7 linked regions of the Coturnix japonica genome follow. The protein of the gene in region 3 purifies or fractionates together with the protein of the main gene of each other region. This does not show direct contact. Links are inferred from orthologs where the notes say so. Each region holds a gene or a part of one and is shown on either strand. Other genes may lie near its edges.

Region 1 (4,118 bases), on a different chromosome or scaffold from region 3:
TTCTGTGATTCTGTGAAGAAAGGACTATGCTCAAAAAGCTATAAAGTTGTTGGACATGAGATTAGCCCGAACATTGGTACTATTTGTTTAAACAGGTTTTCAAGGATTGTACATCTTTATGCACCAGTTTATTCAGAGAGGATACAGTTCAGAATTGCATGTCTAAGCAGGTTTTTCTGTAGATGCAGTTGCTCTTTTGTGCTTCAGGCTACATTTTCATTCTCTCGTGACAACATAACTAGCAGTCGCTCTTCTTTCTGTGGGGCAGTACCTTTACAATGCTCCATTTACTGAAGCTATAGATATTATTAAGTGGAAATGCTGTTGAAAGTATGAACAACAGCATTGCTGCATTCCCATCAGTGAGACTGCTGTGTGTTCTAAGTGCATTCCTTATCCTTTTTCTTTTTCAGAGATCTCTGAGTATATTTTTAAAGTTCAGGATTACTATAGGCAAAATATACGCAGCTGATATCTGAAGCTACATCTGAACAAAAAAAGACTAAAAGAGTCCTAAGCATGGAAGACTTTGGAAAATCATAGTAAGATAGAATCACAGAATGGCCTGGATTGAAAAGGACCACAGTGATCATCCAGTTCCACCCCCCATGCTATGTGCAGGGTCTCCAAACACCAGACCAGGCTGCCCAGAGCCACATCCAGCCTGGCCTTGAATGCCTCTAGGGTTGGGACATCCACAAACTCCTTGGGCAACCTGTTCCAGTGCGTCACCACCCTCTGGGTGAAAAACCTTCTCCTAATATGTAACCTAAACATCTCCTGTCTCAGTTTTAAACCATTTCCCCATGTCATGTCACTGTACACCCTCGTAAACAGCTGTCCCCCCTCCTGTTTATATGCTCCCTTCAAGTATTGGAAGGCCACAATGAGGTCTCCCCAGACATAATAATACAACGTGCAACTGAGAATATTTATTTCAATCATTCAAGGAATTTGCTCAAGTTTAGAGTCAGGTCTGGTATGATGATTAAAGCACGGGGCAGGGAACCTGAAGACATAAATTCTATTTTCAGCATTAGCACTGACTCAAAGTGTGATATTAGTCAAGTCACTTAATTTAACTGCCTCACTCTCCATCTCACCTGTAAAATGAGGGAACCAACCTCACACATTCTTTCTGAGATTAATTAAATGTTTGCTGCATACCTAAAAGTTCTTGGATGTAAAGTGGTGGAAAATTTATTATTAAACACACTTATAAACAGGATACAGGAGCAGAGCTGGGTGGTTTCTATAAAGGAAGCTCACTTTTCTTTCATCTCTGAATTTTTTAGGCATGACAACAAAACAATTAACAACAGGAAAAACTGTGGGTGGAGCCCTTGAGAAGAGTTTATAAATTGAAAATAAAAAGCATACAAACAAACTAGACACTGACTAAACTGCAACTAATAAGAAAAATATATGATTCTCTCTTCAATTAAAGACAAAGGTGGCTTTTTCTCTTATGAGAATGCAGCTGAGGTGATATAAGGCAACAGTTTCTACTGCTGTTGTTCTGTGACCCCAGAAATGAAACAATCAAAACCACAATGTGCAAAGAGAAATGGATAGTATAGAGCAATCAACGACATATTCACAAGTTACATGTTTCTTGTAATGCTGCTTGTACCAAACACTGTTTGGGGAAAGGATGCAGTTTATTTGCCTTTTCCTAAAGCCAGTTGTTGTTATTTTTATATTCCTAAACATCACTGCTGCTTTCTGTAGGTTCCACTCAAAACAGAGTGAGGCCAGTAGGTAAACCAGTATCTTAAACCTCTCACCAAGCTCTGATATGATGTGGTTTGTTACTTTAGTATGGACAAGTGCCCCCTGGGGTTTCCATTCTTTTAAAAGCAACCTTTCAGATTAAGAAATAAATTCTATGACATAATTTGGTAAATAGGAATGTAAGTGGATCATTTACTTTTATTGTAACATTTCTACAATGTAAATTCCAGAACATACTAACCTACTCGTACACTAATTGATCATAAATATATATTTAATATAGCTAATACATCTCTACTCAGCATGGCAGAGACATCCAGACAAAACTTTGGTCCCTCCACCGGGAGTGGCAGAACCTTTCCATTAAATCCTCCATTCTCTCTGCATTGCAGAGCAAAGGTTATGAAGTTTTATTAAAAGAAATCAATGACTCACTATTCATGTGTTTACTTGGCCTGTATGCCCCAAGGATGAGTGGGAACCAGCATAGAAGACTGGTTCTTTTATTCTCTTCGTATATTGCTTATTACTAGCTAGCTCTACTGCATTCATTAAGGCAAACCAGACTAAGAATAAACAAGAGGTGCTTGTCATCCAGCCTTAACACAATGCCACGTGCTCACTCTGAAGCTTCTTCTGCATAAATTTCAGCATCTGTTTTTTCCTGTCTTACCCACAGCAGGTAGGCTCACAGGGTGCATGCACCTTGTCCTATTCCTGCACCTTGCCCCTATTGTGAGCCAGTCCGTGTACCCCAAGAGCCCTCCCCATTGCTGCTCTCCTTTTCTCACTCCAGCTGGGCCAGGAAACAGCTTGTGCTTCTCACCTCAGTGTTGGAAAATGCGAGTTCTCGTTTCACGTGTGTTTGTGTCACTGACTGCACACATACACAAACACAGAGCTGATCCTTCTCCAGCACCACCTCACAAGCTATTTAGACCATCTTCTTTCATAGCTGATACTCACCGTGCCAAAGGAGCCTGTCCCAGAGCCGTGGTTCCCCAGGGAGCAGCAGGCAGGGGATGGCAGGAGCAGATCCAGTGTTCTGAGCAGGGTAACGCTGGCCAGGGCCGGACTCCTCCTCTTGCTTTGCAGAGCTGTGCAAAAAGGGAAGGGCTCAGGATATGATATCATGTGCTCATTGTGAAAACAAAGAAACTGCTGTAGGTGAATGAAGAAGTAACAGCTTCAAAACTCCTGAATGGCCAATAACAGAGAATGACATTCCTGCTTTGCCTTCCCAACCCTCTCTCAAAACAGTTTCAATGAATAGAAATGACAAATTTAGAAAACAATATTTACCTCATTGCTAGGAGTAGCCTGAGAGATGTATTACAAATGAGCCACCTTGGAGCGCTGCTCTGTTCCCTCTATGGTCTGTGTGTATGTGACATCTCAAGCCTTGACCTTGCTAAACACAGATTTGCACACTGTCAGCTCCCACAGCCACTGCCGGGAGTGCATAACCAGCATAAACTCAAGAGCATCCACTCCTTGGCATTTCCCTGACTTCTATATTGTCTTTTCCAGTGAAAGTAATATCACCTAAAACACCCAAGTGACTTAGGACTCCATTTAACATTTTCTAAGGGAATGTAAGCAAAAAGGCTTGCAAATCTCATGGGAAGTGAATGTGATTTTGTGTTGGGATAAGTTTTACTCCTTGGTCCCCTTCTAATTGCAAGCTTACTTCAGAAATAATTACCCATCTACTGGGCTGTATTGCTATTAATTTATTTCCCAGGTCATCATTTACTTCCCAAGCCTAAAGAAAAGAAATTAGTAAACACTCAAAGCAAAGCAGATGTCCTACCTTGACACTATTGTTCTTAACCTGAATTTATCTTTGAAATCAGCAGTTTCTATTTCAGATCTGAAGAAGCACCCACATGCCTGAAAGCTTATTGGTTTTGTCCGGTTTTATCAAGTGACTAATACAGAATATTTTCTCAGGTTGCCAGGGTACTTTTGTTTCTGTTACAGCCTCACAAAACACTATGAGGGGTAAACTTACTGCATTCTTCAAGCACACGACATTTTTACGTCATATTTGGAATTGCTAAATACTCTGTTAGGCCGTTGCAATTGCCTTTCAGATTTCCATTTTTGTGTTAAAAAAAATCCTGTGATATTTTCATGCAGTTAATTCCAAGTTCAGCATTAAGATCATCCATCGTAGGTCACTGTCATTTTCAAGCTCCTGCACTGACTTTTGGTTTAACAGCCTACCTTTGGGGGTTCTGTGTTTCAGTGTTTGTTGGGTGAACACTTTTATGGAGCTGCACACCAGGGTGTTGCCCTTTCAGCTGTATTGTATTACATTGGAACAGAAATATTTTGCTGCCAGATTTCTTGTTCTATTTGTGCATTTTCTTAGTGGACTT
Region 2 (3,500 bases), on a different chromosome or scaffold from region 3:
CAGCTACCAACTGGATCAGCTCAGACCTGAAAGAAGAACAGAAAACATGAGGAAGCACACGAACCAGCTGCTATCAGCAAGATCTGTGCCTTTTTACTCTAAAGGGACCTTGAAATGCACAAACTGGGTGACAGGAGCTGCTCCAAGTTGCTTTCCAAAGCAACACTGTCAATCCTCTCAAGATGAAAGGATTCTCTGCAACATAAGGCATCTCTGATGGTTGCATCTCCCACTCTTATGTAATGCAATGCTTATCCATAGGGCTAAGGTTTCAAAAGGGCAGCTTCAAGAATTCAGTACAGGAGAGTTGGGGCAGACGTGCAGGTAAATGCACTCAATACACCAAAGTCTGTTTGAAAACTGCACTTAGCATCAGCCTAATTCAGAGAGATGAACTCCAGTACTACATACTTACTTCTCCAGAGATTTCAGAATGTAGTTGTAGTTGTTGTGCAGAAAAATGGCACTCAAAGCTGGGTCTTCATAAACCTTGGATTTACTAAGAAGGTTAAGCTGCAAGTTGCCCAGCACTTTGCCTTAAAGAGGGAACAACAGAGGATGAAGACTTTTGCAGTGAGACTTCTTGTAACTGATAATTCAAAGAGTACTTTGAGCTGTTCCTGGGAATCCACAACAAAGCAAATAGCACAGCCTCAACCAAATTTGCAGACAGGGGTACAACAAGCTTTACACAGATCTTTCCTCAGCAGGTCACTAAAACGTCCTAGTGAATGAGTGCTTGGTTGCAGATGGCAACACAGACTCAGAATAAGGTCCAGCATGGGTGATCAGAACCAGCCTCACCACAACAGAGGTTTGTCACAGGGAACCTGACAGACCTGATCACTGTTAGAACAGATCACCACAGGGCAGTACTGTGAACTCATCTGAAGCTTTCACTGTTAAACAGAAAACTGAGATTTTACAGAGACCTTCCTGAAGTTCAGCAGGACTAACAGCCCAAAGAACAGTGGGAAAATAGTTTAAGGCAACTGGTGATAAAAGCAAACTTAAATTCTTCATTGTACTTTGTCTTGTCTAATTGTAACAGGACAAAACACCCAGCCTGACTATTTCTATCCAATCTCCGAATAATACCCCAGCTCAAGCACAGAAAGATCACACAGGGTGAAGAGCTTAAGAAGTCAAGTGAAAAAACAGCCCATGCAGATGTGGGAAGGTTTGCAGTGTACTCACAGATGTAGGTACTCAGCAGCCTCCTGCTGAACTCCGAGCTATAACTGCTAGCTGAAGAACTGGTCTCTGGAAAGAAAAAAGTCTCAGGCCAGTTAACATGCCATGGGAAAGAGGAGGGCATATGTGGTCAGCCTGAGTCTATGCAGACAAGCCCCTTCCCTGTTGCTATGGAATTAGTGCTGAGCTCCTATCAACAGTGAAATCAGCTCCCTATTTCAGTGATGATTGTCAGTGGATTATCCAAGGTGAGGATGATCCTTGCATCTGCATCAGGTGCTGAGCACCCTGGCAGAAACCATTCCCTAGTGCTCAGAGGATACCCTCCATCTTCTTGATTAGAAGCACATCCTCCCCATCCTTCCCCCACCATCTAAAACGGGGTTTTAAGCAACAGCAATGTGCAGGCAGAGAGCAAAGGAGCTGGAGCTGCTAACAGCAGGCATACAACAGTAACTGAAACAAGCAAAAGAGCTCTGGAAAGTTTCAGCCATCCCCACAGTCGTCAACAAGGCCTGACTGGCTCTGTACAAGAGACCACACCAGCATGAACACCTGCTCGTGGGCAAGCAGTGACTGTGGGCTGGTATGTGTCCCTCTGTCTGTGCACTAGAGGGATGGCTTTCTGCCCCTGAGGGCCTGTGGGCTTGGAACATACAGGGCAGCTATCTCCTCCTTCCCCACCAGAGAGCCTGGCAGCCAAGCCTCGGTCGGGTGGTCTGAGTTAGTAAGCAACCCCTGGGAAAGGCCTCAGGGCTCCTGTTGCCAGGAGTTGGACAATGAGGAACCAAGCACACATGGGATAAGGCATGACACCAGCTGGGCCAATTTGCTACCCATGCCAAACAGACTCAGTGCCATGAGAGTGCCTTTAGCCTGTTTCAGCTCATGTGGCATCCCTCTTTGTCTGCAGGTGACAAGCCCTATTCTCTCCAGCTCATTGGCAAGAGTTACTTACCCTCCCCTCCCCTTTTTCCCTTTTCAATTATGTGTCTCTCTTTTTTTTTTTTTCCCCTTTTATGTGTTAATTTATTTATCACTCCCAGAGAACAAAGAATTAACGTACATCACAAGTGTCCAAGGCAATAAGTGGGTATGTGAGGGTAAGTCTGCTTACCTCTGGGATCTAAAGGAATATTGTATGTGTCCCCAAGAACTAAAAGGATTAAGGCAGAGCAGAGAGAAAAAGGGGAGGGAGGAGAGAGAAAAAGAAACGCAAAGTGCAAAAACACAGGTTAGAGACCACCTTCCCTTTGAGAACTAAGCAGATATTAACACAGAGCAGCCACAGACAGTTACACAAGAGAGCAGGCAGGAATCCCTCCAAGGCCACAAATGAAGCTGGAAATGGTGGAGAAAAGGCTGAGTCTAACTTCCTTCCCCTGCTAGAGACATGGTTTGTATTGTCATTGTTTGCATTTAGCAAGACACCTCACTCCAAGCCACTTCAAGCTAACTTTGGAGACAAAAGAAAGCCTTCTCACACAACAGCAGCACTTTACTGGTCCTTGAAATGCACTGCACAGCCCATGTAACCTTTCCAAGAAGCTACATAAAACCATCCCACCCTACCTCTGTGTGGTTATATAGGGCCCCCCTGAGTGGCTCTGCAGGCAGTAAAAGCATCAGATTGGAGTCACTGCATTTAACTGGTAAACTTTGCTTTTGTTGTTACTACTTGAAGGGAACATTGCAGAAAAAAAAATGCATTTCCCATCATTTGGGATTGCTACGAGACTTTTCAAACTCAACTCCAGACATCCACATCTGTGCAAGCAACTGGAAGGTGTCATTAGAGAAGCACCTTTGGGTGCAATTCACCATCCCAAAGCAGATGCCTCTATTAACAGAAGTGAACATTCCCAAATTTCTCTGATCTGATAATGCTCTGTCTAGAATGACATCAGGTCACCTGAGCAGGAACTACAACTTGACCAAAACTCAGTAACCAGAGTGAAATTCAAAATGAGGACAGCCTTGCCATGCACTGATGTCCTGTGCTGTGCTCCAGTTCTGCACCTCACCAGCCTGCTCTGTTCTTACCTATCTGAAAGCATGAGCTCTGTCTAGGCCAAGGGCTCACTGCAGAGCTGAGAGCTGCTGTTCTGCACAGAACCAAGAGTCAAGCTCTAGCTGACAAGCAGCAGCATCTTCAGCATCACTGCATGAGGCCAGTGCTCTCAGCTTTCAATATATGTACTTCCTTCTGGAACTAGTTTCTTTAGCGACCTCAAGAGCAGAGCTAAAACTTTTCTCACCTGAGCATGAATAGCTCTCAGGAGTCCCAACCTGACAGTGGCTGGACA
Region 3 (4,294 bases):
CAACCTAAATCTTCCCTCTTTCAACTTAAAACCATTTCCCCGTGTCCTGCTATTGTCAGCCCTTTCGAAGAGTTTACTCCCCTCCTGGGAATAAGTTCCCTTCAGGTATTGAAAGGCTGCAATGAGGTCACCCCGCAACCTTCTCTTCTCCAGGTTAAACAAGCCCAACTCCCTCAGCCTGTCCTCATAGGGGACGTGCTCCAGGGTAAGCATTACATGTAATTTAAAAACTAAGCTTGAAATGTTTTATCTTTTTCATTCATCTCTGCACTGATCTCATCTTTATACGTCATAAAAACACAACATTTATTCTACCTGTGAGATCATTAACTCTGCTTCCATATAACACTGAGTGATGGTCCACAATAATTATTCTATGTGTGAAGTTGTTAATTCTACTCCAGTGCAATGCTGAGTGTCCTTGCAATAAGAAGAAACAATCCTGAAGCTCGTCAGACCTCTAAGGAGGTCACACCCCCACGAACAAAGAGCTACATGTAAGGAGGCTGAAATTACAGCACCTCTGTTCATTAAGCAAACCTGAGCATTCATAATATCTGAGTCACCATATGTATGAACTCCAGTATGAAACATAAGATGTGGGAGGTGAGGTGCCATCTGTTTCATGTTTCACAGAATCACAGAATTGTAGGGGTTGGAAGGGACCTCTAGAGATCATCGAGTCCAACCCCCCTGCCAAAGCAGGCTCCCTACACCATGTCACACAGGCAGGTGTCCAGGCGGGTCTTGAATATCTCCAGAGAAGGAGACTCCACCACCTCCCTGGGCAGCCTGTTCCATTGAACAGTTCCAGTTTGGATATGTCAGCAGCCTTCGTGTACCTCAACCAGGTCCTTCCTCGGCCTTAACTTCAGGAGCGGCTCACTCAGGCGGATAGAACACATCCCGCTGTTCCCTTCGTATTTACACACTCCAGCGCAGCTGAAAGAGACCAGGGAACAAAACATCGTAAGCGATGCTCTTATTATGTATAGTCAGCTGAGAACTGTCACAGAGCGGCTCAATACTGAGCAGCCCCCCTCCAAACGAGAGGAGGGTGCAGAACCCCATCAGCAGCACCCGGGGGCTCCCAGCCCCACCTCCCCCCTCACCCCCCCATGTCGTACAGGGTCATGCGCGGGCTCCACGACACCTCCACGGCCGCCAGCCGCCCCCAGAAGAGCGCCTGGTTGAACTGCACGAACAGGCCGTGCACGTCGGGGCTGGGATCCAGCAGCTCCCAGGCTTCATCCACCACCGACAGCGGACGGAGGGACAAGGGGTCCGGCGAGGCCTCTACACGAGCCGGCGCCGCCTCCTCCTCCGCCTCCCACAGCTCCTGGAGCTGCAGCGCCAGAGCGAAGTCATCCTCCTCCTGCTGCTGCTGCCACTCTCGTTCCACACCCGCCGTCAGTCCCCGTGCGGCCATGACTGCGCCAACCAGCTCCGTTGAGCTGCGCATGCACACCCCGCACTGACGCACTCATTGTGCGCCGCGCTTCCCCGCCCGCCCCTTCCTCCTCCCAAGGTGTCGGTGTCGGTGTCGGTGTCGGTGTGTGTGAGCATGGCGCTGGCGCTGGGGGAGGGCGGCGGTGGCAGCCGGCTGCGGCGGCAGCTGGAGTCGGGGGGCTTCGCGGCGGCGGAGTACGTGAAGCAGCTGTCGCAGCAGTCGGATGGAGACCGGGATCTGCAGGAGCACCGGCAGCGCATCCAAGCGCTGCAAGAAGAGACGGCGCAGAGCTTGAAGCGCAACGTCTACCAGAATTACCGGCAGTTCATCGAGACGGCGAGAGAGATCAGCTATCTGGAGAGCGAGATGTACCAGCTCAGCCACATCCTCACCGAGCAGAAGGGCATCATGGAGGCCGTCACGCAGGCCCTGCTCCTCCAAGCCGACCGCGACGACCCCGCCCTGGGCGCCCGCCGCGCCGCCGCCGCCGCCGACCCCTTCCTGCCGCTGTCGGCCAAGGAGGCCGCGGCCAGCGAGGAGGGCCGGCAGCGGACGCTCACCACCCTGCTGGAGAAAGTGGAGGGATGCCGCGACCTGCTGCCCGAGAGCCCCGGCAAGTACCTGGTGTACAACGGCGACCTGCTGGAGTACGACGCCGACCACATGGCGCAGATCCAGCGGGTGCACGCCTTCCTGATGAATGACTGCCTGCTGGTGGCCACCGCGCTGCCCAACCGCCGCGGTGCCTACCGCTACGATGCCCTGTACCCCCTCGAAGGGCTGGCCGTGGTCAACGTCAAGGACAACCCGCCCATGAAGGACATGTTCAAGCTGCTCATGTTCCCCGAGAGCCGCATCTTCCAGGCCGAGAACGCCAAGATCAAGAAGGAGTGGCTGGAAGTGCTGGAGGAGACCAAGCGCAACCGAGCCCTGAGCGAGAAGCGACGCCTGGAGCAGGAGGCCCTGCCCCGGCCCGCCCCGACACCTCCTGAGTCCACCAACCCCTTCGAGGAGGAGGACGAGGAGGAAGAAGAGCCCTCCGTTGAGGAGGAGGTGGTCGACCTCTCGCTTGAGTGGATCCAGGAGCTGCCGGAGGACCTGGACGTTTGCATCGCTCAGCGGGACTTTGAAGGGGCTGTGGACCTGCTCGATAAACTCAACGAGTACTTGGGAGACAAGCCTGTGAGCCAGCCCGTGAAGGAGTTGCGGGCCAAGGTGGATGAGCGGGTCCGGCAGCTTACGGACGTGCTGGTCTTTGAGCTGTCTCCGGACCGCTCGCTGCGAGGAGGACCACGGGCCACACGCCGAGCCGTGTCCCAGCTTATTCGCTTGGGCCAGTCCACCAAGGCGTGTGAGCTCTTCCTGAAGAACCGGGCGGCCGCGGTGCACACAGCCATCCGACAGCTGCGCATTGAAGGTGCCACGCTGCTTTACATCCATAAACTCTGCCACGTCTTTTTCACCAGCCTCCTAGAGACGGCCAGAGAGTTTGAGACAGACTTCGCTGGCAACAACGGCTGCTACTCTGCCTTCGTTGTGTGGGCCCGCTCTTCCATGAGGATGTTTGTGGATGCCTTTAGTAAGCAAGTGTTTGACAGTAAGGAGAGCTTGTCAACTGCAGCGGAGTGCGTGAAGGTAAGAGTGCCCATGGTGGCCTGAACAAAGCTTGTAGATCTTCATTTCTAACCCCAGCATAGTTGACTGAGTGCAGCTCTGGAAGGGTTTTCTGAATTAAACTGTTCGTATTCATTTGGAGTTGGTTTATTTTTCTTAAGTTTAACCAACAAAACATTAAGATGAAAATACACAGCAAGAAAAACCCTGCCCTTACCAGAAATGCAGAAAATGTTCTTCCTTAATTTGCTTTTAACTTTCTCAGTAATAAGTAGTTTCTTGAGGCAGAACTGAACCAGGACTAACCTATCCCTGCTTTCTGATGCACGCCCCCTTTATATTTGCTGTGTTTAGTCAACTTACCAACTTACACTTTGTTTTTCCTTAATACCCAAGGTAGCTAAAGAGCACTGCAAGCAGCTCAGCGACATTGGACTGGATCTCACCTTCATCATCCACGCCCTTCTGGTAAAGGATATCAAAGGTGCTTTGCAGAGCTACAAGGATATCATCATCGAGGCCACCAAGCACCGCAACTCTGAGGAGATGTGGAGAAGGATGAACCTGATGACTCCGGAGGCTCTGGGGAAACTCAGGGAGGAGATGAAGAGCTGTGGCGTAGGCAGTTTTGACCAATACACTGGTGATGACTGCTGGGTCAACCTTAGCTACACTGTAGTAGCTTTCACTAAGCAGACTATGGCCTTCTTGGAGGAAGCGTTAAAGCTTTACTTTCCAGAGCTGCATATGGTTCTTTTGGAGAGCCTTGTGGAAATCATCCTAGTGGCTGTCCAGCATGTTGATTACAGTTTACGGTGTGAACAGGACCCTGAGAAGAAAGCATTCATTAGGCAGAATGCATCCTTCCTTTATGAAACTGTCCTTCCTGTTGTGGAAAAAAGATTTGAGGAGGGAGTTGGAAAGCCAGCCAAGCAGCTACAGGATCTCAGAAATGCTTCAAGGTTGATGCGTATAAATCCAGAAAGTACCACCTCTGTGGTGTGAACGAGCAGTTCTTACGAACGGGGTGTGAAAGCACTTAGTGAAAATGTTGTACATTGCATATATGAACCAAATGGGTTTTTTGAGTTCCTAGAAAATGTGGAAGTCTGGTTGCGGGATTGCAGAGAATGAAGTTACAATCAAGGGCTTCAAGGGTTCAACACTTCTGTTTTTTGGGGGGGTGGGTGCAGGAAAGTGAGAGGTAGCAATTGAGATCACGTGTCCTTG
Region 4 (3,055 bases), on a different chromosome or scaffold from region 3:
AGAAATTTTCAACCGAGAAAGTGTTGCAAAAATATGATGGAAATTCTCCATCATCACCACATCTCTGGGTGTTTTCTGGCTTTCATTAGCTACTTTTTCAACTAAAAGATAAGGGAAACAAAATATTTAGAACTCCTAAAGGGCAACCAAATTCGGAAGAAAACATAACTGATGAAAAGAAAAAAGTAAGGGATTCTATCACAGTGATAACCATGTGTATGAACGATAATCATAACAGTCACTAAATAAATATTCGAGGGCTTTCAAAAGAAGCATCAGATACATGCAGGCTTTTACTTTTAACCCTCCCAAGTAAAACAGAGCAGGTGTAAGAAATTCTACTTATTGACCCCCTACTGCATCTGCATGCATGCAGGCCAAGGAGACGATGGTTAGAATGCAGATTAATGCAGAATTAATCTAAGAATGCAATTAAACCTCTATGCCCGCTCATCCATCATTTCATTGAGACTATGAAGTAGGAAAACCACCATGAAAAATATTTATGAAGCATACTCCTGGGCACCAAGGTACGAGTCAATATCATCAATTCATTTCAGTTAGATCACTGAAGCACCAATCCCCATCATAATTACTTGTTGAAGCTCATGCTGTACTAGTCAATTATTTTTTTTTCTAAGTTCAACTGAAATCCTTTTAAATTTCTTTTAAAACGTACTTTCCTGAATTCTTCCTACAGTAGTACTTCTATCAATGTATGGTTTGACTGTTAGCGTCTGCCTGGTTTCATCACTTGAACAATCAATTCTAAAGTACTGAATAGTTGGACGCAATCAATGTTGTTAAAATTCACTGCCCTACTAACTTCTACTGACTCTTTATGAACTGTAGTCCACTATATTGTGAAATGATGCATCTTCACAACCTCCTAATGTTCAGAACTCCTGTGCTAGTTTCCTCAAACAAGCTTTATTGCCAGAACTCTTCCCTCTTCCTCAACCTCCCTCAGGGAAAAAGGCAAGTCTCAGTGATTGGGAAGTACTACAGGTCGAGCTGTTTCAAAGGATGTACATAAATCAACATGGAGAGGCCTCTCTGTTGTTTAAAAGGTTATGACCATTTTTCTGGCATTTCACTTCTTTTACTTCACCTTCATCTATTTCTTTTTTGTTAATAACAAGGAGAACAAGACTGTTCTGGTTTTCCAGATCAGAGCTGGAAAAACAGGAAGGGATGGGAGAGGCATTCTACTATGTCAGGAGGACCTCATCTGCTATGATATGGTCAAATTCATAGCCAGAACACAAGGCTACATTAGAACTGAATGAGACAACACAGCACTGAGAAGCTGTACAGCATTAGAATGAAATGACAGGGATTCCATCCTGTCTCATCTCCTCATTTAAGCCAGACTGGTGCAGAAAAGCCAGAAAACCACTTGAGACTTTGGCCTGTAGTGTTGCAGTTCTCTCCCCCCTCCTTCCTGTATCCTTAACCACTTCCCCTGTCATAACCGAAAGTTACTTTGTATATATGTGTTAAGGGAAATATCTACAGTTTGCTTTTAAATATTTCATTTTATCAAAATGTTTCAACTTGCTTCTATAAATTAGGTTGTTTTTTTTTTAACATCAGTGCAATGTTGGTCATGTGGTTTACAATATAGAGTCTTAAAAAAAAAAACATTATCAATTAAACAGAGCAGAATACACCTACACAGGAGGAATTAATAAGTATTACGAAATGGGAAGACCTACCGCTGATAAAAACAGCTCTAATAAGTTTTATATATGCTTTGTCCAGATCTCCTCGTCGTTCTGCATTTTTGAAAATTGATTCAGCAAGGGCTGCAAACTCTTCAAATTCAGCAACAAATGGAAGGATCCCGACTTTACTTTTCTTTGAGATTTTTACTTCATCCATCTGCTTCATTTGATTGCTCTTGAATTGAAACACAGAAGTTATTCTCTACAATACAGTTCCAGACCATAACTAGTAATAACCATAACTAGTAATAGAAAAAAAGTAAACATACTGAAAAAGTAACATGCGTCTAATCAGGGAGATCATTTTATCTTTTAATTATTGTATCTTCACAAATTTGTTAACAGTAAAAACTGTGAAGAAAGAAAGGCAAGTAAAATCTTCAAGACTGAAGTTTATAATCTTCAAGTTTTTATCTTCCTCTGCTTGCTTATTTAGCATTAAGAAAAAAAAATACCACAAACAATGAATCCACAACTTATTCACCAGAAGCAATTAACAAATTATATTTAAGACTTCCATTCCACAACTTCACTTTTCAGCATCAACCCAGCAAATGATTCATTTGGCCACAGAAAGCTTCTTTAATCTCCTGTTGAAATTTTGTTTTTAAGAATAAGCTAAAAAATAATAACTTCCAAGTATCTCAAGCATTCCTCTGACAATGAATGATCAGTGTTACCAAAGTGGCCTGGAGTCAAATGACACTTACAACAATAATAGCAAAAGCAACAGTCACACAAACAAGTATTTGTACTAAGGCTGCCTTATTAAGAATAGCAAACTTTCTCCGTGGCAGAAACTGGCAAATATGTTGGTAGTAGGAGAGAAGTCTTAATGTTTCACAAAAATCTGCGTTTTGTTTAATGATAAAAATACCTGAATGCAAGGAATAAATGTCTATTCAGTATATTACAAAGATTCTGATTTTCCCTTAAGTCTGTGAGGTTGTTTTGGATTGTTTTGGAATGTAAAAAAAAAAAAAAAAAAAAAGTCAGAGCACTATTGATTTTACTTGATTGACTTCAGTAAAAGTTTAAAACAATTACAAAAGTCAGCCAGCTCACATAACTGAAATGTTGAGGACAAGAGGTTGTACGTCCTATGGATAGCTCATCCTTCAGGTAAACTGGGATGGAAAGGGAAGAGGGAAACAACTGCCAATTACTATTTTTTAATAAATATTTTTTAATAAAAAAAGTTTGTCCAATGTAACTGTAGTGCAGACACTCATTTTTGCTTCAAATTAAAACAAAAAGTCTTAAAATCCTAAAATCAAATTGAATAGGTGCAGGCTTCCTAAAGTAATAGAGTTATCTTAAACAGAAAA
Region 5 (3,500 bases), on a different chromosome or scaffold from region 3:
ACCAGACCAGGCTGCTCAGAGCCACATCCAGCCTGGCCTCAAATGCCTCCAGGGATGGCATTTGCCTCCTTTATTGACCTACATTTGATTTCAGATGGAACATTTCAGTATTTTTAAAAGATATATGGGTAACAACCATTTGCCTGTGCAAATATTTTCACTTAAAGGATGAGCTGGTGGATTTTTGTTGGGTTTGGGTTTTGTTTAGTTTATTTATTCACTAATTTTTACCTTGAAATGGAGCAAGACAGCTGCTACTTCTCTCATTCTGGATATTTCGCCTCTCCGCTGCGCACTGGTAAACTCCTGAATTAGCTGGCACTCTAAGTCATGGTATTTACCTGGAAGGGAACAGAGGAAAAAAGGTTAAAAAAAAATTAGAAGTAATCCATGAAGCTATCTAATACAAGCACTGGCAAAAATGGTAATACTGACAGTACTGCATATTTCTTTAATCAGCTTTTACGATATATGGGAATATGGATTGAACTGGATGGATAACTTACTTGCTATCTTTGATTTTACTTCAGAAAACCTGTTAACATCAAAAAAATACCATGATTAATTTCAAATCCACATCACAAGAGAAATCAGACATCCCAGAGTGCCTGTTACTCATGATCTATTTAAAAAGGAATATACATAACACAGAGACGACAGAAAAGTTACATACTTCATATCCATAAGAACCTACGAGCATCTAATCCAAATCTAGCATTAAGTCAGCACACCAAAATTATCCCATTAAAAGTCTGTTAAGCAGTTCAGGATGTGTATGTAAAGATGATCCTACAACATGAGTATGCAAACACAAATTCAGGAATAGATGGTGCACTTATTTCTCTCAAAAACTACAGGAATCATAGAGTGAAACAAAGCCCCTTCCCATCCCATCCCATCCCTTCCCTGCTGTCCCCCTTATTCCCCTCCAAAAAAACCCCAGCATTATAAAATTACAGCTACGCGAAGTTGTGGATTTTTTTTTCTGCTATGTTATTTTAAAGAGAAGTTCAGGTAGAATTTTACCTGTCAAAAGGCAGTTCCTGAGCAATCAAATGCAGTTTTTGAATAATATCAGCTGCCTCTTTAATCTGTTATGAGTAAAAACATGACAGCCAATTATTAAAGAAGATCTGAACATGGCCTATTCCTTTCTTTCATCTCTACTGCTCAGCTTTCACACCATAGTCTATATTCCTTTTAGATGATATACCATGTAGGAGATCACTTTCCTGCAATATGCATTTTAAGATGCTTAAGATATTAATTAACATACAAATTACACTGGTCAAAACATGATAAAAATTCTTCTGCTATATGTTCATGTGGGGCACAACTCTACAAGTCCTTAAGCTCATCACCATACCAGGCCAATATGGCTTGCAGACCAGAGTTCCTTATTTAATCATCCCAGGTAATGTGGCTTGAGCAAGCATGTTTCAAGTATGCACCTTTCCATATTGTAGTAAAACAAACAACCATAACATATAGATGGCTGAACTGCAACATGATATTTTGTGATGAATTAGGATAAAAGTCATTTATTTGGCAAATGGCATGGACTGGCCCAAAGCATGACTGTGAGACAGATGTAAAGAGTTCTACTATTTGATCTTAGCAACTGGAAGGCACCTTGAAGGGAGTAAGGAAAACTGACTACTATACCCAGGCAAAGCCTTCATACCAGTAGACATAACAGAAAGTATAAAGAACATGCAATTTGTCTTGCTTTTCCTGTTAGCCATGTAGACAGAACTAGAGCAAGAGGAACAGAAGCACTGAGATCCTATTCTGCTACCGCTGATGAGAGGCTTGGGATTCAAACTTTGCAAGAACAGAAGATGCACAGGTAGGAAAACAGAGCACAGTCACTGCACGAGGCTGGCTGTGCGGCAGAAATAGAGGCTTTAATAAAGTGTAGTCATTCTGCTTATTAAGAGCAGCTTATGTTTGGAACTGTCAGCTCACAATAGCCTCTTAAATCAAAAGCAGCCACGCTCCTCAAATAAATCCAATGAAACAGCAGTTATTTCTATTAGGTATTAAGGCTGCTTCAAGCTAACTAACAATTCTGCTCAGTATTGATGTCGTCAGGATAGCCTATGTATCAGCACTTATTCACCAGCATCACCTAAAAAGAAGCCCAAAAGAAAGGTAAATAAAGAGCAAACAAAAACATCAGCAAGCAAACACAACATCTTCTGTCTTCTTTTCACACAATAGCTGCTAACTAACTTCTTAGATTTTTATTGAATTCACAGCCTTTTCTTAAGCACAACAGAAGCCAGGACGAATCAATTCTCCATGGTTTCTGCTTAAACCCAGAGATATTTCATTTTTAATTGAATCAGGCTTCTGTAAACCATTAAGTCAAAATAAATACTGAATCTGTACGACACAACTTAAAGGCTATAATGCATCTGAGGAAGCGGACAAAACAGCAAAGGAAAATCTTAATAGAATCGGTATGAAGAAGCTGAAAGGCGTAATGGAACAATAGTGAGTACAGAACTAACGCAGAAGAGGGTGCAAGAATAATAGTGAATGTTGAACATAATGATACTGTTGCATGATAAATAAGTGAGTTGCTACATCGTTCTTTAATTGATTTGCTCACTTTAAGACACTTCAGTGCAAAAGAGGGACTGGTTAGTTGGCAGAGCAAGGCAAGTGGTAACAGCTTGGAGGATGAAGACACACACACAGCATATATAGCTTAGGACAAGACAGCCAAGAAAAGCCATCACAGAGATAAGCTGGAAATTGCTCAGTATATCAAGGACAAAGTAACGTGGGAAACAACAACTTTCAGTGTAAGGAAAAACAATAAAAGTGGTAAGAACCCAACAGATTATAAGACCTGACACTGCCGAGAAAAACACCAATTCCTGCAGAAATAATTGCACTGCAACTCCTTGCCTCCCTTTCTCAGTATCCCTTGCCCTTAATGGCTTAGAGAGAAGCCCACGCTTTCATAAAGGGTGGCACAGAACAAGAAATCACAATGAAAGCCCAGATCAGCTCAAAAATCAGAGGATGCTGCCAAAATATTAACATTTTGCCTCTCAGAATATTTATTACTATCTCATACTTCAGAAATGCTTTTAGTTCAAAGATGTATTAAGATATCATGCCTCACACCCAGGAAGGCTCCTTATAAACACTATTTCTACTTGCTATTTAAATGTGTGCCCCCCCACACCTCATATGCAGACTGACATCAGACTTCCAGACCTTACTGCATTCCTCTCCTCTTCCAGATTTGCTTTATGTCCTCAGGGCACATCAAGATTAATTTGTTTAACAATTTCCAGGCTTATCATATTTATCTACCACAGATTTTTTTTCAGAGCTTCCAACAGAAAATATTACAAAAATCAAGTTAAATTCCTTATGAGACTCTTCTTGCTTACAGATGGACACTACTACTGCAATTTATTTCCATTAGCCAGACCACTCAGATTCTATTTGCTTCACAAACACACTTCTGAAGCAAAAGG
Region 6 (4,098 bases), on a different chromosome or scaffold from region 3:
AAGCCCCCGCGGAAGATAAATTCAGAGTAATACATGCAATCTTTTGAGCATTATTTACCAGTTCTTCATTCTGAACTGAAGTACTACTGATTTCTTCCATGCAAAACATTCATGCGCCTTTTTTGCATAATTAAACTAATGCACAGACAGGTAATAAATATCCACTTGTGCTTCACGGGCTTGCCTCGTTCTGGAGAATAAAAGCATAGTTTAATTCATGTATTCTTTCATTCGGTGGCTGTCAGAGCCTGTATGTTCAAAAATAACTTTTAAATACACACTTCTGTGATCATGCTATTCAGGTCTTGCTCTTTTCGCCTCCCTTAAATGGATTCAAAGGGAAAGCAGAAAAGCCCAGATGAAGAGAATCAAAAGTAACACACAACTGATGATTAGTTTCAAGTACAATGCTCAAGACTTTCTGGATTTACAGCCAGCCATATCAAACTGACAGAAATTGATTAAGTAGGGTTTAACATAACATATCTCAAGCTTTCATCGCTAAAAGAGGTCAGTGGCCTCTGTTTCTTGTCTACCACTTAATGTGCTTCAGTGCAGTTTCACTTTGAGGAGTAGCATCATGAACAGACCGTATCAGTGGATGCTATTTCATGGGACCTTGGGAAACTACTGGTGAATCACATTTTAACATCTTTAATATGTGTGTGGTTTTTTTTACCTCAAATATTCTCAGCATGAGGAATCCTACAACTCAAAACACTAAGACCTGAATATCACAGGTCCAAAAACATCCAACTGCTTCACCTCTGATAAACACTAAGAAAAATTAAATTTTCCATACAGGGAAAAAAAAAACCAACAACCCGACTTGCCACCAGAAGTTAAATTAATGCCATTTTCTGTGAAATAAATCACACTAGTATAACGAAAATCATTGCATCCTGTTTAAAACAACAGAACCCCCGGTTAAGTAAAAACACTGTTGTCCAAGGGTGGGCATAAATCACAAACCCTGTAAACTAAGCGATCCATGGGAAAGAAAGCAGCAGCTTTCGGCTGCTCCTTGCTGGGTCAGTGCAAGCTGTGACAGACACTACGGCGATAGGGAGCTAAGAATTACAAAGCTTTTCTTCAGGGGAGTAAAAATAAAGCAAGCAAAGCAGGTTGGATGTAAAGGTGACAAGTTTCACTTGCAGTTTATAATTAAAAAACGACAGCCAAAAAAAAAACAAACCTCAGAAACTATTGGGTGTCAGCCCTGCCCACGGGAGAGGGCTGGAACTGGATGATCATTAAGGTCCCTTCCAAAGGAAGCCATTCAGTGATTCTAACTGAATTTCTAGTGATTTCTAATGGTTTGAACACTCCATCAAAAGGAAAAAGAAAACCCCGGTGCAGTGAAATACATACAGGTCTTAAGGAGGGGGGGAAGCGTTTGCAATCAGAAAACGAGGAAAAACAATGTGAGATTAGAATTTTAAACTACATCACGTATCAGAGGGTTTGAAACTAGATGAACATTATGGTCCTTTTCAACCCAGACCGTCTATTATTCTTTGAATGGGCGTTAACAGCTTAGACTTGACCTGATGTTCTGCCAGACTAGGAGGGCTTATTGCTTCGCTGGATGTGAATTCAAAGCGTTTGAGTGTTTGTGTTAGAAGCTGTTCATCTAAGGAGCAAACAAGACACAGGTGGTAGGAAACGCCAAAGAAATATATAAAAGAGGGAGAAAAGGCAACAGCTTGGAAGAAGCGCTATTTTGAAAGCCGGGACAGAATGTCAGGGTCCCTATTGGAAATGCAACCATCCCCACGTCCAGGCTGTTCCCCTCAATGAGAAACCGCGTTGCAGTTCATTTTAATCACACAGAATCACAGAATGACCCGGGTTGGAAGGGACCTCAAGGATCATGTAGTTCCAACCCCCCTGCCTAGCAGGGCCACCAAACATACACATTTACTACATCGGGTTGCCCAGGGCCCCGTCCAACCTGGCCTTGAACACCTCCAAGGACGGGGCATCCACAACCTCCCTGGGCAGCCTGTTCCAGGGCCTAACCACTCTCCTAGTGAACAACTTCCCCCTAACATCCAACCTAAATCTTCCCTCTTTTAACTTAAAACCATTTCCCCGTGTCCTGCTATTGTCAGCCCTTTCGAAGAGTTTACTCCCCTCCTGGGAGTAAGTTCCCTTCAGGTATTGAAAGGCTGCAATGAGGTCACCCCGCAACCTTCTCTTCTCCAGGCTGAACAAACCCAACTCCCTCAGCCTGTCCTCATAGGGAGGTGCTCCAGCCCCCTGGTCATCTTCGTGACCCTCCTCTGGACCCTTTCCAAAATCTCTATGACTTTCTTGTACTGAGGGCTCCACACCTGGACACAGTAAGCGAAGTTTTAAGCGCCCGTGCCTCTCCCGGCCTACTTCCTGCACAGCCCTCAGCACACGCGGAACCACCTCACGGTAACCAGCAAGGCCGGTCCCATATGGCACTACCTGCCCCCCAGCACAGCACGGAGCCCCACGGCCCGCAAACAGCCGCCCCGAATCCCTCCCGGACTAGGGGCGGGGCGGGAGAGCGCCTCGGTCTCCCCCCCGGGATGGGGACGGTCTCCGCCCCAGCGCAATGGGGGAGGACCGGGGCTGCCCCGCTGGGAGCCGGCTCCGCAGCGCCCGGCGGAGGAAGGGAGGGGCGGGAGGCCGCTCGCTGTCACTCACCGGCCGCCGCCGCCGCCGCGCTCGTATCCGGCACCTGGGGCAGCGCCGCTCCCGGCAGCGCCTCCGCGTCCGGCGGGAGCAGGCACCGGCAGCCGCCGCCCGAAGACATCGATGGAGTGTGGAGACATCGAGAAGGGGCGGCCGAGCTGCGGGCCCCGCCTAATGAAGGCGCAAGAGGCGGAGTAGGCGGCCTCCCTCGGGTTGGGAGCGTCTGCTCGTAGAAGCTCGGAAGTGGGGCAGTACGAAGCTCTTCTACTGAAGTAATATTGGTAGCAGCAGCAACGGCAATCGTAATAAATAATAATAAACTCCACGCTCTTGTGATGCAGCACAGGATGGTGCGGGGGTGCGTGGTGGTGCAAGAGGAAGGCACTGTGCCCTTGAGTCGGAAGGACAGGTTCCTACCATCTCCTGTCTCCCAGAAGCATTGCTTGTGTCCTACAGGCCTGGTTGTGGGGCCTCTAAATGATCGTCACACCTCTCCTGTATCTGTGGCATGGAGGGTTTGGTGTTGAAATTTCAAGTGTTGGTTCTCCTGCTGCCCCTCAGATGCAGGTGTGCTGGCCCTGAGTATGCTTGGGGTTAGAGCTGCTCATTCCCTAAAATGCCTGCAATGCCACATGGGCAACACCAATGGGTATTCTCACCCATCAGGCTCACTGTTGGGTGGAGGACGATTGCAATGTTTTTCACGTCATCTGTACAAAAAGGAGACTAACTTTTCTTCAGAAATGGAGCAAAGCAAAGCTGTGCAATTCCATTTCTTGGCTCAGCTTTTATTTCAGGTTGTTCCCCAGCAGCCCGACCCCCTGGGTAGTGTCTTTCCGGCACCGCTGCAGGGCTGCACAGAAACAGGACGCAGCTGTTACAAGAGCTGGCGGTAGGCAGGCAGCATGGGCAAAGCTTGGTCGTGCAAATTCGTGCTGGTTTCCCACTGAAAACATGGGGTGATTTCTTATCAGACCATCTGTCTGCATGAGGCACCTCTGAACAGAGGCTCTTCTTCCTTTTGGAAAGGAGACATCCTTTTTCCCTTTCTGCTGGAATTGTTTGGAGGTTGGTTGCGAAAGCCAAGTGCAAATGAAATCAGAATGGAAAGCAGATAAAAAGCAATGAGGGAGAAAACAGAAAGGAGAATCAGTTTCTCAGTTTTGCCAGTCCAGGCCTAGATTGAGACATTAGTTGGAAATATCTTTCATAAAACCTCAAAGAACGTAAGCGCTATAAAAAACATCATGGCAAGGAAATGTCATTTCCCACATGTTTTGGTTTTTTTTTTTTTCCCCTGGAGGTGAGAGCTGCACAAGGTATATTATAGGCTGTAATATCTCAGTGGATGAATATACAGCTCCTTACTGACTCTTCCCTCTAGCTTTAGTTAAATAGTCACACGGCATCTGCCTGAGGAACAATGAGAGA
Region 7 (3,500 bases), on a different chromosome or scaffold from region 3:
CCTGGGTGTTCACTATAGGGAAGAAAAGCAGAAGAATGTCACAGCATGAAGCAAAGCAGAGTAAGCCAAAACACATCTTAAAACAGGTTATAAAAATGCCCTGGGACAGCAGTTCCAGTAGTTCCAACCTATTTGCTGAACGGTGCTATACTCTAAACCTACCAAGAGCTCCATCTGTTGAAACAGTGAGATCAAATAACTGAAGACGGCAAAAAGCACACATGGTGCAGACTCTGGGTCACTGCCAGCTATTGAGAAGAAGGTTAGTCATAAAGCACAACAAGCGAGCAGCACTTTTTCCCAAATAAATCAGTTGCCTAGTAACTATGTGTCGGCTAACATTAAAACGCTGCCTTTTGAGCTGCTCTATCAGGAGAACAACGGGACGGACCCAATCCTTACATTACTTCAACATATCACAGCACTCAAAAGACACTAAGAGTCTGACAGTATCACAGGAGAGACATGAAGAGTCTGACAGTATCGCAGGAGAGAACCTATGGGCAGAAATTCTCCTAAAGAAATAAACTGTTGTGAGGTTCCAAGATAAAATCTGGAGGAAGTAACTACATTCTTTCCATTTAACAGACATGAAGCAATACTTCAACAGTCCCACGCTCTGCAAAGGAGAACAATAGAAAGCAAACAATCACACTCATATACTGGGGCTGTGCCCAATGAAAAACATTTTGCTTCACACACACAAGCTTTTCATCTCCTCTGCTCTCCCCAGTTCTTCACCGAGTGCTGCACAAACACACTGAGGCTGACAGCAGCTCCACAGTGGTCTGGAACTGCGTTTAAAGCCTCAAGCTTATAAAGCAACTTAAAACCATGTGCTAGAAAACCTGGAGAAGTCTTGAGTAGCCTCAAGAAAGTAAAAGGCATTAACAAATCTCAACAGTCCTTTACTATCATTCCACTTCTTTTTTATGTATAAACAGCTGTATCTTCACAGTATCACAGTCTCATGTGGGTTGGAAGGGACCTTAGAGATCATCGAGTCCAACCTCTGGGATTCGAGCCTCCTGTGTAGCAGAGCGGCACTTCTACCACTTGCGCCACAGGGGGATTCGAACCCAGGCCTCCAGTGTTGCAACGCGGCATTCCTACCACTGCGCCACTTCTTTATCTTCTGTTAACAGACACACAATTATTGGTACACAGACTGTGTGGTATATGCTTATCCTCAACTTTTCTCGCAGAAAGGTAAGTGGGACTTTACCTTTTGTAAGTATTTAAAACCCAAGTGAGAAGGCTAACAATCTCATTTGCTTCCAGATCCTCTGCAGCGAGCTCCTGCATGCGGGTGGACAAAGCCTGATGGTACATGTTTAGCAATCGTTTGAAAATGTCATAATGTGGGGGAAAGCATTGATCCAGCAGGGTTTTAGCCACTAGAAGGTCATCGAGGACGTATTTCCGTATGATTTCTAGATGGCGCACAAGCCACATTTTGTCAGATTCTCTAGTATCCGCTTGAGTGCCTTCGATTCGTATGCTGACAGTTCTTTCCAAAATGTTGAACATTTTCTCCTTCCATTTCTTTGGCCTGCCAGGAGGAATGAACCCAGTCTGTTTTTTCCGGTCTAACATGCGCCTGTCGATTTTTTCTTCCCTTTCAATTATCCTAACAACAGAAACAAGCAAGGTCGGATCTCGACGAACCGTAACGAGAGATCTCTGAACTACCATCCACAACTGCTTGGCCAGCTCCTCAGAAAGTTTCTGCATATCCCCAAAGTACGTATGGATGAGGTTCATGTCGTGCGTGTTTTTGCTGTCCATGCGATACTGCTCATACATCAGGTTATCGCGAGAACACTCCAAATCCATCAGCTTTCGATGAGCTTGCAGAAGTTCCCCTCGCTCAATCAGATCTTGAGTCTCCCTCACTATCTCTGGAACTGCAACGAAGGCAAAAAGGAAAAAAGAGGGGGAAATAGATCAAAATGCCAAAGATAAACTCAAGACATTATGAGTGCTCGGAAACAAATGGGAAAACAACATTCAGTATTTAGATTAGATTAGTGTAGGGTTGTTAGAGTTAGGGTACTGGTTAGGCTGCAGTTGGACTTGATCTTCAAAGTCTTTTCCAGCCTGGGTAATTCTATGATTCTATGATTTAAGGAACAATACAGAATTGGATTAGGATTCAGTGGCAAGAAGAACAAAAAATACTTGCAGGAAATGTCGCCACAAGAATGACAGGCAGTGCTAAATACTGGCAATCCAATTAAACAAAAGGCTCACTAAGACAATTACAATCATTAATTATGGTGAAAATCATTTGACTCGTTGTAAAAAAACATTTGGTTCCCTGAGTGGGAAGTTACCATCGACTCTACTTTGTAACAATCTCAGGGGAAACACTTCACACTCAAAGTCTGGCAGGATACTAGGAAACAAAAGGCTGCATTCAGGTCTCAACTGCATTTGTGTCAGTAAATTATAGCAACATCCCTGAAACAAATTAACACTGGAACATACAAACATTCATTGCCGTTAGCTGGATGTTACTTCAAGTAGAAACACAAATCATCCTCGAGGTTCTTAACTGCTGTGTGAGAAAGACTTGTAGGGAATCTTCTGTACCTTCATCTGTATCTTGTACCCCTTTGAAATGCTTTAAGACTGCGATGGATTATATAAAGAACAGCAAACTACCTGAAAAGATGTTTTTGAGATTTTCCACAGCAGCTGCCAGCTGGCTGTGCTGGACCACAGCATCCTTAACGTCCTTGAGGTTTTCAATGGTGTTGATGCTCTGTCTCCAGTCTTTATTGACATCTATCAAAGACTGCTGGATGTCCTTTACATCATTCAGTGCATTGTGCAGTTGACTTAAACCCGTCCGGACTCCATCCAGCTGCGACTGGATTGCTGCCTTAAACGCAAGCAAAAAGACAAAGAAAGAACTCTCACATTAATCATAATGCACTGTAAGTAATATTCGGTCCATGTAAAACAAGCAGATTGACAAGGCGACTACTAGATTGTTATGACATACGGCAAGGCTGTTGATATGGCTCTCTCTTGTGACAGGTAGTACTTGATTCTTCAAATGGGCCATTACTCCTGAATATCGTTTCAAAGTCTTGACACATTACTAACATGTGTTACAAAGCACATGAAAGAAATCAGACCACATCCATGTTTTAGGTAGCTATCTACTTAAATATGCAACTAAAATGAAATCAGACAGGAGATAATGAAACTGGAAATAACAGAGTTCAAAAGACAAGCCAAAACCAAAGGCAGCAGTGAAAATTCCATTGCTGAACTCAAGGACTTGAAGCAAACTGTAAAGGAACGAGGCACACACAGTTTAGCTCAGCACTGGCCATAACTTTGGCTGTACATGTAAGGTCAAAAGGCCTGAGCTGTCACGGGTTTGTTTTTGCCTGTTATGAGAAGCCAAAGAGGAAATCCTGGTAGCTATGAACAACATTTACTGTGTTTTAAAAGTAAGGGGAACGTCCCAGGAAAATATGGTTGAT

Evidence for each region.
Region 1: the proteins of EXOC8 (region 3) and RALB purify together in Homo sapiens (affinity purification with western blotting; 6 studies listed by BioGRID and IntAct, counting the BioPlex papers as one, with this or other methods). This does not show direct contact. The link is inferred for Coturnix japonica from reciprocal best matches to the Homo sapiens genes EXOC8 and RALB.
Region 2: the proteins of EXOC8 (region 3) and EXOC7 purify together in Homo sapiens (affinity purification with mass spectrometry; 4 studies listed by BioGRID and IntAct, counting the BioPlex papers as one, with this or other methods). This does not show direct contact. The link is inferred for Coturnix japonica from reciprocal best matches to the Homo sapiens genes EXOC8 and EXOC7.
Region 4: the proteins of EXOC8 (region 3) and EXOC1 purify together in Homo sapiens (affinity purification with mass spectrometry; 3 studies listed by BioGRID and IntAct, counting the BioPlex papers as one, with this or other methods). This does not show direct contact. The link is inferred for Coturnix japonica from reciprocal best matches to the Homo sapiens genes EXOC8 and EXOC1.
Region 5: the proteins of EXOC8 (region 3) and EXOC5 purify together in Homo sapiens (affinity purification with mass spectrometry; 5 studies listed by BioGRID and IntAct, counting the BioPlex papers as one, with this or other methods). This does not show direct contact. The link is inferred for Coturnix japonica from reciprocal best matches to the Homo sapiens genes EXOC8 and EXOC5.
Region 6: the proteins of EXOC8 (region 3) and EXOC2 purify together in Homo sapiens (affinity purification with mass spectrometry; 7 studies listed by BioGRID and IntAct, counting the BioPlex papers as one, with this or other methods). This does not show direct contact. The link is inferred for Coturnix japonica from reciprocal best matches to the Homo sapiens genes EXOC8 and EXOC2.
Region 7: the proteins of EXOC8 (region 3) and EXOC3 purify together in Homo sapiens (affinity purification with mass spectrometry; 5 studies listed by BioGRID and IntAct, counting the BioPlex papers as one, with this or other methods). This does not show direct contact. The link is inferred for Coturnix japonica from reciprocal best matches to the Homo sapiens genes EXOC8 and EXOC3.

Annotation. Positions count from the first base shown.
Region 1 is NC_029522.1:21,413,456-21,417,573, forward strand, and holds the start of RALB (ras-related protein Ral-B), read right to left. Parts: upstream 2,801-4,118; 5' UTR 2,701-2,800; intron 1-2,700. UniProt on the Homo sapiens protein: Multifunctional GTPase involved in a variety of cellular processes including gene expression, cell migration, cell proliferation, oncogenic transformation and membrane trafficking.
Region 2 is NC_029533.1:3,933,592-3,937,091, reverse strand, and holds part of EXOC7 (exocyst complex component 7), read right to left. Parts: intron 2,351-3,500; coding exon 2,312-2,350; intron 1,264-2,311; coding exon 1,198-1,263; intron 537-1,197; coding exon 416-536; intron 27-415; coding exon 1-26. UniProt on the Homo sapiens protein: Component of the exocyst complex involved in the docking of exocytic vesicles with fusion sites on the plasma membrane.
Region 3 is NC_029518.1:35,755,087-35,759,380, forward strand, and holds the start of EXOC8 (exocyst complex component 8), read left to right. Parts: upstream 1-1,494; 5' UTR 1,495-1,564; coding exon 1,565-3,085; intron 3,086-3,460; coding exon 3,461-4,069; 3' UTR 4,070-4,294. Other genes in the region: SPRTN (sprT-like domain-containing protein Spartan), read right to left, coding at 843-942, 1,128-1,462. UniProt on the Homo sapiens protein: Component of the exocyst complex involved in the docking of exocytic vesicles with fusion sites on the plasma membrane.
Region 4 is NC_029519.1:58,587,710-58,590,764, forward strand, and holds part of EXOC1 (exocyst complex component 1), read right to left. Parts: intron 1,903-3,055; coding exon 1,719-1,902; intron 102-1,718; coding exon 1-101.
Region 5 is NC_029520.1:50,516,155-50,519,654, reverse strand, and holds part of EXOC5 (exocyst complex component 5), read right to left. Parts: intron 1,092-3,500; coding exon 1,027-1,091; intron 536-1,026; coding exon 507-535; intron 342-506; coding exon 232-341; intron 1-231. UniProt on the Homo sapiens protein: Component of the exocyst complex involved in the docking of exocytic vesicles with fusion sites on the plasma membrane.
Region 6 is NC_029517.1:61,951,771-61,955,868, reverse strand, and holds the start of EXOC2 (exocyst complex component 2), read right to left. Parts: upstream 2,801-4,098; 5' UTR 2,680-2,800; intron 2,479-2,679; exon of another isoform or gene 2,458-2,478; intron 2,427-2,457; exon of another isoform or gene 2,337-2,426; intron 1-2,336. UniProt on the Homo sapiens protein: Component of the exocyst complex involved in the docking of exocytic vesicles with fusion sites on the plasma membrane.
Region 7 is NC_029517.1:80,091,863-80,095,362, reverse strand, and holds part of EXOC3 (exocyst complex component 3), read right to left. Parts: intron 2,888-3,500; coding exon 2,668-2,887; intron 1,908-2,667; coding exon 1,226-1,907; intron 1-1,225. UniProt on the Homo sapiens protein: Component of the exocyst complex involved in the docking of exocytic vesicles with fusion sites on the plasma membrane.